Daphnia pulex: one gene and its partners. The protein of the gene in region 1 purifies or fractionates together with the protein of each later gene. This does not show direct contact. Links are inferred from orthologs where the notes say so. Each region holds a gene or a part of one and is shown on either strand. Other genes may lie near its edges. The genes, in order: kinesin-associated protein 3-like, kinesin-like protein KIF3B and kinesin-like protein KIF3A.

What was found.
Region 2: the proteins of kinesin-associated protein 3-like (region 1) and kinesin-like protein KIF3B purify together in Drosophila melanogaster (affinity purification with western blotting; 4 studies listed by BioGRID, with this or other methods). This does not show direct contact. The link is inferred for Daphnia pulex from reciprocal best matches to the Drosophila melanogaster genes Kap3 and Klp68D.
Region 3: the proteins of kinesin-associated protein 3-like (region 1) and kinesin-like protein KIF3A purify together in Drosophila melanogaster (affinity purification with western blotting; 5 studies listed by BioGRID, with this or other methods). This does not show direct contact. The link is inferred for Daphnia pulex from reciprocal best matches to the Drosophila melanogaster genes Kap3 and Klp64D.

The regions. Positions count from the first base shown.
Region 1 is NC_060025.1:2,639,365-2,642,382, reverse strand, and holds the end of kinesin-associated protein 3-like, read left to right. Parts: intron 1-67; coding exon 68-266; intron 267-334; coding exon 335-498; 3' UTR 499-1,176; coding exon of another isoform or gene 1,177-1,263; intron 1,264-1,324; coding exon of another isoform or gene 1,325-1,476; intron 1,477-1,536; coding exon of another isoform or gene 1,537-1,747; intron 1,748-1,815; coding exon of another isoform or gene 1,816-1,956; 3' UTR 1,957-2,464; downstream 2,465-3,018. Other genes in the region: globin C, coelomic-like, read left to right, coding at 1,177-1,263, 1,325-1,476, 1,537-1,747, 1,816-1,956; N-acetylated-alpha-linked acidic dipeptidase 2-like, read right to left, coding at 2,929-3,018.
Region 2 is NC_060027.1:697,360-701,728, forward strand, and holds the start of kinesin-like protein KIF3B, read left to right. Parts: upstream 1-1,418; 5' UTR 1,419-1,620; coding exon 1,621-1,697; intron 1,698-1,761; coding exon 1,762-1,863; intron 1,864-1,939; coding exon 1,940-2,200; intron 2,201-2,258; coding exon 2,259-2,411; intron 2,412-2,478; coding exon 2,479-2,642; intron 2,643-2,702; coding exon 2,703-2,834; intron 2,835-2,900; coding exon 2,901-3,268; intron 3,269-3,331; coding exon 3,332-3,529; intron 3,530-3,595; coding exon 3,596-4,054; intron 4,055-4,120; coding exon 4,121-4,369. Other genes in the region: UMP-CMP kinase-like, read right to left, coding at 92-301, 386-523, 599-745, 810-951, 1,023-1,045. UniProt on the Drosophila melanogaster protein: Plus-end directed microtubule motor that may be used for anterograde axonal transport and could conceivably move cargos in fly neurons different than those moved by kinesin heavy chain or other plus-end directed motors.
Region 3 is NC_060019.1:8,190,661-8,194,836, reverse strand, and holds the start of kinesin-like protein KIF3A, read left to right. Parts: upstream 1-1,299; 5' UTR 1,300-1,419; coding exon 1,420-1,650; intron 1,651-1,710; coding exon 1,711-1,916; intron 1,917-1,988; coding exon 1,989-2,179; intron 2,180-2,244; coding exon 2,245-2,372; intron 2,373-2,435; coding exon 2,436-2,645; intron 2,646-2,714; coding exon 2,715-2,889; intron 2,890-2,948; coding exon 2,949-3,049; intron 3,050-3,105; coding exon 3,106-3,221; intron 3,222-3,282; coding exon 3,283-3,700; intron 3,701-3,769; coding exon 3,770-3,895; intron 3,896-3,954; coding exon 3,955-4,109; intron 4,110-4,176.

The DNA of each region.
Region 1 (3,018 bases):
TAAACAGTTCTCAGATTAAGATTGAAAAAAAAAGAACAAGGTCAATAAAGCGACGTGATTTGATTAGTTTGAAGACATCCCGGCCTCTTTTCTAGACCTCATGACCGACCAAAACCTAGAAGTTCGAAAAGTGTGCGAGAGAGGACTGATGCTGATTGCCGAGTCGGATACCAAATGGGAAGAGCGGATTAAAAATGAACGTTTCTGCTGGCACAATGCTCAGTGGCTCGAGGCCATCGCCAAAACGAACCTCTTATCGTCGCCTGGTAATAATCTTATTTCAACAAGTACCCAATCGTACCCAAACATAATCCGATTGTTGTGTTTTCATCAGGAACTGAAGATGAACACAGTATCGCTGGCAGTGTTTTAGATTTGTGCGTACGACACGCCGACCTCCTCGATCGTGCAAGTAATTCTGCATCCAGTTTCGGATCACCCGAATCCCGCATAGGATCGCCTGTCGAATCTATTGATGCTTGGGATGCGCAAATATAATAATGGGTCGCCCACCACGAGAAGAAGAAAAATAAAAACAAGAGTTTCTAGTCGTCAATCTTTTTGTTTCAATGTGCTGTGCTTTCCCCCCTCATTCTGTTCCCAAGTTCTGTGATCTACTCCTATTCAAGCTGCGTTCAACATAACGATTCCGACTACATTTTCGTGTCATTTTACTTGTATTTTTGGCTGACGAGGTGCTAATCATTTGCTTTGAATGATCTTTCAAACAAACTGCTATTTAAGAAATAGTTTTCACGCATTTTTTTTTCCATTGCTTTTTGTGTGTTTTTCGTTAGGGGGAAATGACCCAATAAAAACGATAAAAAAAATGTTGGCTTCTCGTTAAAGTTCCTCGGTTTCTGAGCACGCGACCTCCGCAACTAATCTAGATGACCCTATGGATAAGACATCCGTCGCCCTCAAATGAGATTGACGCCTTGAGGGTTTACAGCATTCGGTCGACTTTGGTTTCAATATTATCAGCCTCCGAAACTGTAGCTCAAAGCACGTAGTCCCCAGTGCCCTGTCAAAAACAGTACAGCTATGTTCATCGCGATGACTTCAAAAACAGCTTCCAATCGCGCTCGCTCTCATATCATTCCGTGAAACCCAGACCGAAGAGTTTGAGTGCAAGAGGGGAAACTGCTTAACGACTTGAAATTTCAAAAATTCAACATGCTGGTCCACTACATATTGACTGCAATATTGGTGGTCTTTCTGGAGGCTCGGCCTGGACGAGCAGAGTGTCCTCGCGGCTACAAAGTTGGTACACATATGGAAAATCTCCGCTATTGTTCTAAGCACCTACCTGTCATTCTCCCAGGCGAGTTCATCCGGTCAAAGAGATCCGTCGACAAAGTCGGAGAGCCAGAGGATCTTGGAGAATTTTCTCAACGAAAGGGATGAGGCCACGATCCGCTCCACATGGAATACTGCCAAAAAGAATGGTAACATCGGTCCCAAGACATTCCTACGGTAAGTGAAAGAAACAAATGCGATTAGTGTAAGATTGATAAAATATTTTCTGTAATCTAGTTACTTTGAATTGAAGCCTGAGGCACAGAAAATGTTTCCAGCTTTTGCGGAAGTAGACCACATGAAGCTTCCGACGAATGAAGACTTTCTCGCTCAAGCTCAGAATTGCGTATCTGGGCTCAATTCATACGTTGAACACCTTGGGAAAAACCCTAAAAATTGTCCGTTCATCGCTAAGGCAAAAGGAAAATATCATCATGAAGATCTTAAGGTATAATGTGATAATTTTGGTATACCTACTTTGGTGAACAGGAAAATTAACACTGTCTTGATAAACAGCTTCTGGGAGTGACCCTAATGGGAGTGTTGGAAGAAGAACTGGGGAAAGGATTCACTGATGAAACAAAGGAGGCGTGGAAGAAGGGACTTCGAGCGATGAATGAAGCCGTCACGAAAAGACCAAATCCGTCGAGACGTTGATCTAATATATAGATATATGTCCCAAAAAATTTAAAGTTTAATCAACCAGAGTTCCTTCGTCATAATGCATGCATATTAAGAAGAAGTATTTTGTGTTGGTAATGGTTAAGTAGAGGGCAGGAAGTGCAATTTGACATTATTATAAATAAATGTATGTATAAAATGGGGAATATTGGCAACTTACAAGGTATTGAAACATAACAAACTCGCCAAACATATAAGCACTTATTTTCAATTCATACTTTAGCGAGGAAATCAAGAGAACCAATTGCAGCAAGTGCAAACTGATTTAGAATTATTAAGTTACTAGACTACCATTTCCATGTGTTCAACAAACATCACAGCACGATTATAGGCAAGTGCTGCTGAAGTATCTGTTTTCCACTGTATACTATTGTACTTGTTGAAGCATCCTTCGTGTTCAACCTCTTTAGTTCAAATGCCAAGACTTTGTAAACAATAAATATGATATGCAAAATAAGCCAGCAAATAAATAAACTCACACATATTCACAGAGTTCCTCACAGCATGTTGCACATCCACTCACATGTTCAACCACACCACAGCACTGACGCATTTTGTATTCGGAATTTCCCCGAAATTTAAGAACGTTTTGTTTGGTATTTTAGATTTAAAATATTAAAAATCCAACCAATATTGCAGTTATCTCACTTCTCTTCTACCATGGAAACGGAACGAACTATAATATTATGTAACAAACCTTTCAAAATTTTCACGAAAATAATATCAGAGAAGCAGACGTTGTTGTCAAGTGAATTTAATTAGAATTCAATCAATCACATCATAATTAAATTAAATTAATTCACAATCCACACAAATAAAAGAAAAACAACATTTCTTTACTGTTTATTCATTGGGATAAAGTTAAAAAGGAATATGTAATACAATTTCGTCAGACTAATTTTGTATTGTGCATTTGCGCTTAATCCTGCAGGATCACAAGATCATAATCTAAAAATCTCCGTTGAGTGATCGGCCTGCCTCGCCAATTAAAAATGCAATAACAGAAAGATGGTGGCGAATTTTGCTCCATATCTCTGG
Region 2 (4,369 bases), on another chromosome or scaffold:
ACAACCAAACGACCCAATAATTTAAAAAAAAAGGAGTTTAGAATGAAGTTATTGGAAACCAGTGGAAGTCGTCTTCATTTGAGATTAACAACTACTCAAACGCTTTTGTTACATCCTCAAATACTTGGTCGGGAGATTGGGACGCATCAATTTTTCTGACTAGACCCAGAGCATCGTAATGCTCAATGATTGCCATAGTGTCTTTGACGTATGTCTGAAACCGCTTCTTTAGACTTTCCTCGTTGTCATCCGAACGACCACTTCCGGCGGCACCTCGTTGAAGGCAACGCTCCATACACGCCTGATTGGAAATGATCATATAACACAAGTGAATAAGTTAATGTTCTTGAGTCTATGAATTAGCCTATAAACAAACAAAACATACTTCTTGGGAGCAGTCAAAGAACAAGACAAATAGCACATTTGTCTTGTCTCCCATTTCCTTCTGCCAGCCATCTAAATTGTCCTTGTTCCTTGGGAAGCCATCAATCAAAAATTTATTGTTGCCACTCTTCTTCATTGCCTGTATTATGGGATAATAAGAGCACACGCTGTTGTTACTTGTAACAAAAGAGAGGATTTTAAAAGATTAACTTACAGTGGCCAATAGGCTGCAAGTTATTTCAACTGGGACAATAGTTCCATTACGAATATGACTCTCAATTAGTTCTCCGTAAGCTGATCCTTCAGTGTTTCGTTCTTCACGAAGCAAGTCTCCAGCTGACAGATGAACATACTGGAATTTCTGCAATAAATTTAAATGGGTCAATTTTAGAAACCTCAATCGCAAGGTTGGCACACAAGCTCACCTCAACTATCTTAGCACACTGTGTCCCTTTGCCAGCTCCAGGTCCTCCCAAAACAAAAACAACGTTCGGTAATTCGGCGGACATGATCGTCTTGATGGATTTAATATTTCTAAGACCTAGATTACTGGTGACACAGGCGATTCTAGTGCAAAAAGAGGCAAAGAAACAAATCAATACACAGCAAGTATTGCATGCAGTACTGCACCTCGGTACCTTCTAGTCAGCAGACCGAACATACGTCTGTCAAGTCTGCTTGCCGGGGGTCGGTGGCGGATTAATAAACTCCTCCTCCCGGACACTACGGCACTACGTGGCCGCTGTATCGAGCTTGTACAGGGAAATCGGAATTTTACGCTTTCTGATTTTATTCTGACATCTGGTCTGGTCCCGCGTGAAAGGTAGGACTAAACAGCAACTCAACCATGCTCTCTTAATATGTTTCTTAATTCCAATCTCCCGTTTTATTTTGGACTACAATTTGATAAATTATCTATTTGATTTATTGATGACAACAATATCTATTTTAAATTGGAATCTTTGTGTTTTTATTGAAAAGGGCCTACTGATCTGATTTTGTTGTGAATTTCAGTCACCAAGCGCCGCCACTAGCAAGTTAAAAATCCGTGCCCATCGCTTAGGCAACAACAACAACAAATTCGGAAGTCGGCTTCTCCACTGACTCCATGGCGACAGCTCCTTATAAATTTGCAAAATGAATTGATTTCTTTGTGAAAAAAATTCCGGCTGGCTGTCAGGATATCCTTTCAGCTCGCATGTAGTAGACTTAGTTAGTTCGTCGCATCTTAAGAAAATGAGTGCAGAATCAGTAAAGGTGATAGTCAGGTGTAGGCCTATGAATGAAAAAGAAACATCTGAAAACTATGAGGGGTATTGTAGTATGACTGATTTTTTAATTTAAATTCTTACTATTGAAAATGTTCGTTTCTTGAAGGATTGTGAATGTGCTACCAAAGCGAGGTGCAATTGAAATCCAAGCGCCTACAAAACCACCCACTTCTAGAGAATTTACCTATGATGCTGTGTATGACTCAAAGTAAGTGTTAATTTGGGTAAAAAACATACTATTTTTCCTATTTACTAAAATATTTTTTGTATTAATTTGTGTTTAGCTCAAACCAAAAGGATCTCTATGATGAGTCTTTTAAGCCTCTAGTTGATTCGGTACTTCAGGGTTACAATGGGACAATCTTTGCTTATGGGCAGACAGGTACAGGAAAAACATTCACAATGGAAGGTGTCGCAAAAGACCCGGATAAGAGCGGTGTTATTCCACGCTCATTTGAGCACATATTCAATCATATTGCTCAGTCTCATGATCGACAATACTTGGTGAGAGCATCCTATTTGGAAATCTATAAAGAACAAATAAGGTTTGTCTTTTATACTTATATTGCCTTGAGTTTGGTAATAATTCCTGTTGAATTAAAGGGATTTGGTATCAAAAGATCCTAAGAAACGTCTTGAGTTGAAGGAGCATTCTGATACCGGAGTATTTGTAAAAGACCTTTCGTCTTTTGTTTGCAAAAGCGTTGTTGAAATCGAACATGTGATGAATGTGGGAAACGTTAATCGCTCTACTGGGTAAGCAATGACTATTAAGTTTGACGTTTTGCTGGCACAAAAACAACTTTATTATTATGTTCAATAGTGCTACCAATATGAACGAACACAGTAGCCGTTCTCATGCAATATTCATGATAACGGTAGAATCGTGTGACGTTGGTCAAGATGAAGAAAACCACATTGTGGTTGGAAAGTTAAACCTTGTCGATCTGGCTGGCAGTGAAAGACAGACAAAAACTGGAGCATCTGGTAAATTCTCATGTTGAAATTGCCCAAGGAAACTTATTGATTTTCTGTTTTTTTGTGTAGGAGAAAGACTGAAAGAAGCAAGCAAGATCAATTTATCCCTTTCAGCTTTGGGCAACGTCATATCCGCTCTAGTCGATGGCAAAAACGGGCATGTTCCCTATAGGGATTCCAAATTGACACGTCTCTTACAAGGTACCGAGCTCTTCATTCACTTCATACATAATTTCATTATCTGATGGAAAAAAACTGCCGGTTTAGATTCCCTAGGTGGTAACTCTCATACAGTGATGGTTGCCAACATAGGCCCAGCTTCGTACAACTACGAAGAGACGTTGACCACACTTCGATACGCCAATCGCGCAAAACACATTCGCAACAAACCCCAAATCAACGAAGATCCAAAAGACGCTCTCCTTCGGAGCTTTCAGCAAGAGATTGCACGATTGAAAGCCTCTCTAAGTAATAAAAAAAACAAGCCAAAAAGAAAAGGTGATGGGGGGTTGCACGACGTATCCAAATCTTCTGAAGATTGGGCTGACGATACAGAAGCTGAGCTCGAGCAGGAAAGAAAAGATATCCTCAACAATAGTAGTCTCATTGCGGAAGAGAGGGATCAACTTCTTAAGGTACTTTTTAATGCTCACTGTGCAATCATGCAATCATTTATAATCATCATATCTTGTTTCCAGACTCTGCAAACGAAACAAGAGGAGCTGCATAATAAACGCGAGAACCAAGAAAAATTGGCGTCTCGAATCGAAGCTCTCGAAAGCAAATTGTTAACTGGCCATATAGGCACAACATCCGAAAACGTAACCATCGAAGACGTCACGAAGAAGCAACAGCAAACGCTAGAAGCTCACCGCCAAGAAATTATTGAACGCGAGGTAAGATCTAGCAAACTAACATAAATGGAACTATGAACATTAATGGATATCTTTTTTGGCTTCCAGCGTCAAGAGCGAGAGATGCGCCAGAAGTTAGAAAGCCAAGACGAGGAGGTGATTGATTTCAAAGAGAATTTCAGTTCACTCCAACAAGAGATCGACTACAAAACCCGAAAGCTGCGCAAAATGTACGCTCGCTGGCAGAGCGTCAAGCAGGAAATGGGTGAACTCGGCGATGAGTTTAGTCGACAACGACGTGAATTGGAAGAAACTCAAGAAGTTCTGATGAAGGAGCTCAGACTGAAGCAGCTGATTGTCAGCCACTTTGTTCCTCCCGAATTCCGACGTCAGTTAACATCACGTCTGCGCTACGAGGAAGATGAAGAGAGATGGATGTTGAGCCCAGCAACGGAGATGCCTCTACTGCCTAGAGGTTTCGCCTCCAAGTTTGAACTGAGACCAACGTCGGATTACGAGAAACTCGCTCGTTCAGCTGAAGATTCTTCTTCTTTCGGTCGCTTTAAAGTAAGAAAAATGCTTCGTGTCGGCGTGAGAGATGGTGTTTACTAACTTCAACTTTTTGTTTTTTAGTGTGAAAATATTTTTTTGCTAAGCCTGGACATCCCCCAGCGGACCACTAAGGAATACGAAGGCCCAGAAATTTCTCCCACTTTGCAAGCGGCTCTCACTCAGGCCCTGCAGTCCCAGAGTCAATCGATGGAGGTCCAGTCATCGAAATACAAACCGGTGGACATTCATTCTTTTTTAAAATCGGCCTGCCGTCGCAAAATGCAACTCATTCAGCGTCCGAGATCGCGCAATTCGGCCAAATTCAACAAC
Region 3 (4,176 bases), on another chromosome or scaffold:
CACACACATGTAGTACTGGAAGCATTACGTAGATCTTCTTTCCCGATGACGGAACACGCGGAGGAGCTTACACGGGAAATATCGACGAGGACTTTTTTTTTAAATATTTTTCAAATGGAAAAAGAGGGTGTGGCAACAGTGAAATTGACTGGAACACACTCGAGACTTTTTTATTTTCGGGTGGGCTGTTGAGAAAAAAGTGCGGAAGGGGGAGGCAATAAATGCTCCACTCCCGCAGCAGTTTTCGGTGAGATGGACGAGTTACTAGAGTGGCTGCATTCACGCGTGTCAAACTGATCTATATTGCTCTGATGTGTACATCCTAGCTCGATGGATCCTCGCAGCAGAAGCAGCAGCAGCAGCAGCAGACTTGTTCTTTGATGTGCAGCTGCCACTGTTGGTCGACCGTGAATCGACTCTGCCGCTTTTATTCTCCAATCCCGATAACCGCTTTCCCATCTTACAGCGTTCACGTTCGTATCTCTCCGCGCATTTCTCGTGAAGTTTGGCGGAGCCCCCCGTCCCAAACACGCTTTTTCCACCTCATGAACGGCACCCGGGAAACGGCAGTCACCTGGTGAACCAAAGAGGCTCACATAGGCAACAACAGGGACCCCCCAAAAAGATAATTGTAGTACACGGGCGATGAAGGAAGAAGCTAATATAAGCTTTATAAATTACACATGTGCACAACTTAGTCACTATAATGAATAGACGACATATTCCCGTGAACGAAACTGTACTGTGAACACACACACCATGTAGTACATAACCAATCAACGGTTCGACTTGTTTCTTCTTCCGTCCCGCGATGACGACGACGATCGAGAAAACATATTAGAGAATCTGCAGTGTGCATTATTGTGTTGACATTACTTCCCTCCTCGTGCTCATCGTCCAACCCCCTCGAGCTGCAATAAACGATATCCGTTTTCCCTTCAATGTTGATTCAAGAGATTCTCTCCTATTATTAAACGGCTAATGTACTCACTCGCCGTTTGACTTGGAACTTAGGGGGACGCCAGGGAACTCATTTGACGAGATTTCCTACCCAGCAACGTCGTTTTCAACCATCAGCTCCAAAGGCGATTTGTGCTGACCGTGATTTCGGGTGAAAGAATATATACGACGACAATGTCGTTCCTTTATTTCCTCCGAGAAGACGACATCCAGCGTTCGTGATTGAACGATTTCATTCCAGGAGAATTGCCACAATATTTCGCTGTCAGATGGCGGCACCGATCAATTACTTCTGAATCTCCCATAGCAACGCAACGTCAACAGTATCGATTAATTTGTCTTCTGCTAGAATCTGGTAGAAACATGCGATTCTCAATTTCAGTGATCTAAAAGGGTGGGGTTTTGATCTCATATAGATCTCATTTGAGAATTGCACCAGTTATTTTCATGTACTGGTAAATGATGGACACCAGCTCTATATCGGAAAATGTCAAAGTTGTGGTCAGAGTGAGACCACTGAGCGAAACTGAGAAGACTGCCGGTTACAAAACCGTCGTCAAAGTTGATTCAGTTAATAATACTATTATTCTTCGAGCCCAAAACAATGGTGCTAATGGGACTGGTCAATCGTACAATGATGTGGACAGAAGCTTTGTGTTTGATTCTGTATTCGGACAAGAATCTTCTCAGGTATTGTCGGTTCTTTTTTCAGACTGAAACAATGTTCTTACTACAACATTTCCATTCTAGATGGAAGTCTACAACCATGCTGCAAGACCTCTAGTTCAGAATGTTCTGGAAGGATATAATGGCACAATATTTGCCTATGGGCAAACTGGAACAGGCAAAACATTCACCATGGAGGGCAACCCTCAAGCCCCTGAACTAAGGGGAATCATTCCAAATTCATTTGCACACATCTTTGGCCATATAGCTAAAGAATCAGAAAGAAAAAAGTGTGTAGTAGATATAGCTCAATTAAATAATCAGAACTTTTGATTTTATGAATTGGCTGGAATTTTCCACAGGTTCTTAGTTCGTGTCTCTTACCTTGAAATCTACAATGAAGAAGTCAGGGATTTACTGAGCAAGAACCAAAATGTCCATCTGGAAATCAAAGAAAGGCCCGACGTTGGCGTCTATGTCAAAGATCTGTCTACTTATGTTGTGAATAATGCCGAGGACATGGAGCGTATAATGACGATGGGAAATAAAAATAGTAAGATGCTTCCTTTTATATTTACATTGAAGATTATAATCTGTAACTTTGATCGAAACTATCAGGATCGGTGGGTGCTACCCAAATGAACATCCATTCATCGCGTTCTCACGCCATTTTCACGGTTGCCGTCGAGTGCAGCGAGAAAGGAATAGATGGAAACAGCACTCTTCATGTCGGTCGACTGAATCTGGTTTGTAACGCATCATCTTTGTTCCTCGGTTGAGAAGAATTTACGATTATTTTGTCTTGAAAGGTGGATTTGGCTGGAAGTGAACGACAGACCAAAAGTGGAGCTTCAGGTCTCCGACTGCGAGAAGCATCCAAGATCAATTGGTCATTATCTACATTGGGAAATGTAATTTCATCTTTGGCTGATGGCAAGGCCTCTCACGTTCCATACCGCAATTCCAAGCTAACTAGGCTGTTGCAAGATTCTCTTGGTGGAAACGCCAAAACCCTCATGGTATAAAACCTGAATCCTCAACACGTTCTCTCAGTTTAATAATGACACCTTGGCACTTGTTGGAGATAGTGCGCAAATATCGGACCCGCATCTTTCAACTTTGATGAAACTCTGAACACACTTCGCTATGCAAGCCGAGCCAAAAATATCCGAAACAAAGCTCGTATCAACGAGGATCCTAAGGATGCGTTGCTCAAGCAATTCCAAAGAGAGATTGAAGAGCTTCGTAGACAGTTAGAAGAAGGTTTGAATATTTAAATGAGAATTATTGTTTGTTGACGTAATCTTATCTAATCCGTACAGTTGGTAGTGCCAGTTCGGACGAAAGTGGCGAAGAAAACTACGAGCTGCGCAAAGATAAGAAACGAAAACCGCGGACGGAGAGTGAACGAGCTGCCATCAAAGTAATCCTATCGTCTATCTGATAAATATTTGGCAACTGAGAATTCATTATTTACAGGCCAAGATTGATGAGGAGCGAAGAATGGTTATGGAAAGTAGCCAACTAGCGGAGGAGGAGCGCAAAAAAGTGGCCCAAACTTTGGCGGAACAAGAGAAAGAATTGCAGACTGCTGCGTAAGTTTCAGCGTCACAGATTTTCAAATAAATCCCCTGATTCAATATCTGTGTCAAACAGGGAAGAAGAAATGCGTCTGAGACAGAAACTAGCTTCACTTGAAAGCAAAGTCATCGTAGGAGGTGAGAATTTGCTTGACAGGGTGGAACAACAGGCCAGTTTGCTAGAGGATGCGAGAAAAGAGCTTGAGAAACGAAAGGCCAAAGAAGATTTGCTGCGCCAACAGTTGCAAGAGAAAGAAGCCGAGCGGATAGATATGGAAGAGCGTTACAGCTCGTTGCAAGAAGAGGTGCAGGGTAAGACGAGAAAGCTGCGCAAAGTCTGGACGCTACTTCACTCGTCCAAGAGCGAGATTGAAGATATGAGGCAGGAACATCAGACACAAATGGAACAACTCCTCGAGGGTGTACGACAGCTCTCTAAAGAATTAAAGCTTTCTACTTTGGTCGTCGACGAATACATCCCGGCTGCGTATCAGGTATTCCTCACATTTTTGTCATCAAACTCTTGTAAGTTGTCAATGATAAAATTGCAATGTTGTCATTAGCAAATTATCGAACAACATGTCAACTGGAGTGAAGAGTACGGTGAATGGCAACTGAGAGGCGTGGCCTATGCTGGAAATAACATCAACCAGTACAATTCTCCTCGGCGATCTGCTCGCTCCACCTACGTACGTCTTATTACCAAGCTTAGCGATCTGATTTCACTAATGAATTTGGCGATCCACAGAGACCTGAACTGGATCTCAGTTACGTGTATCTCTCATATGACGACATCATTGGCTTATCTGATCCTGTTCGTCCTAAATCAGCGAAAATGAAATCTCGGTCGGCGACCAGTGCGCGCCTTACAGGAAAAGGTGCTCGCACCCCCTCAGCTCAGCGGTAAATCGATTTGTTGACCTCATTGTTCCACTCGACTTAAAAGGAACCAACTAAATCTTGTGCATTT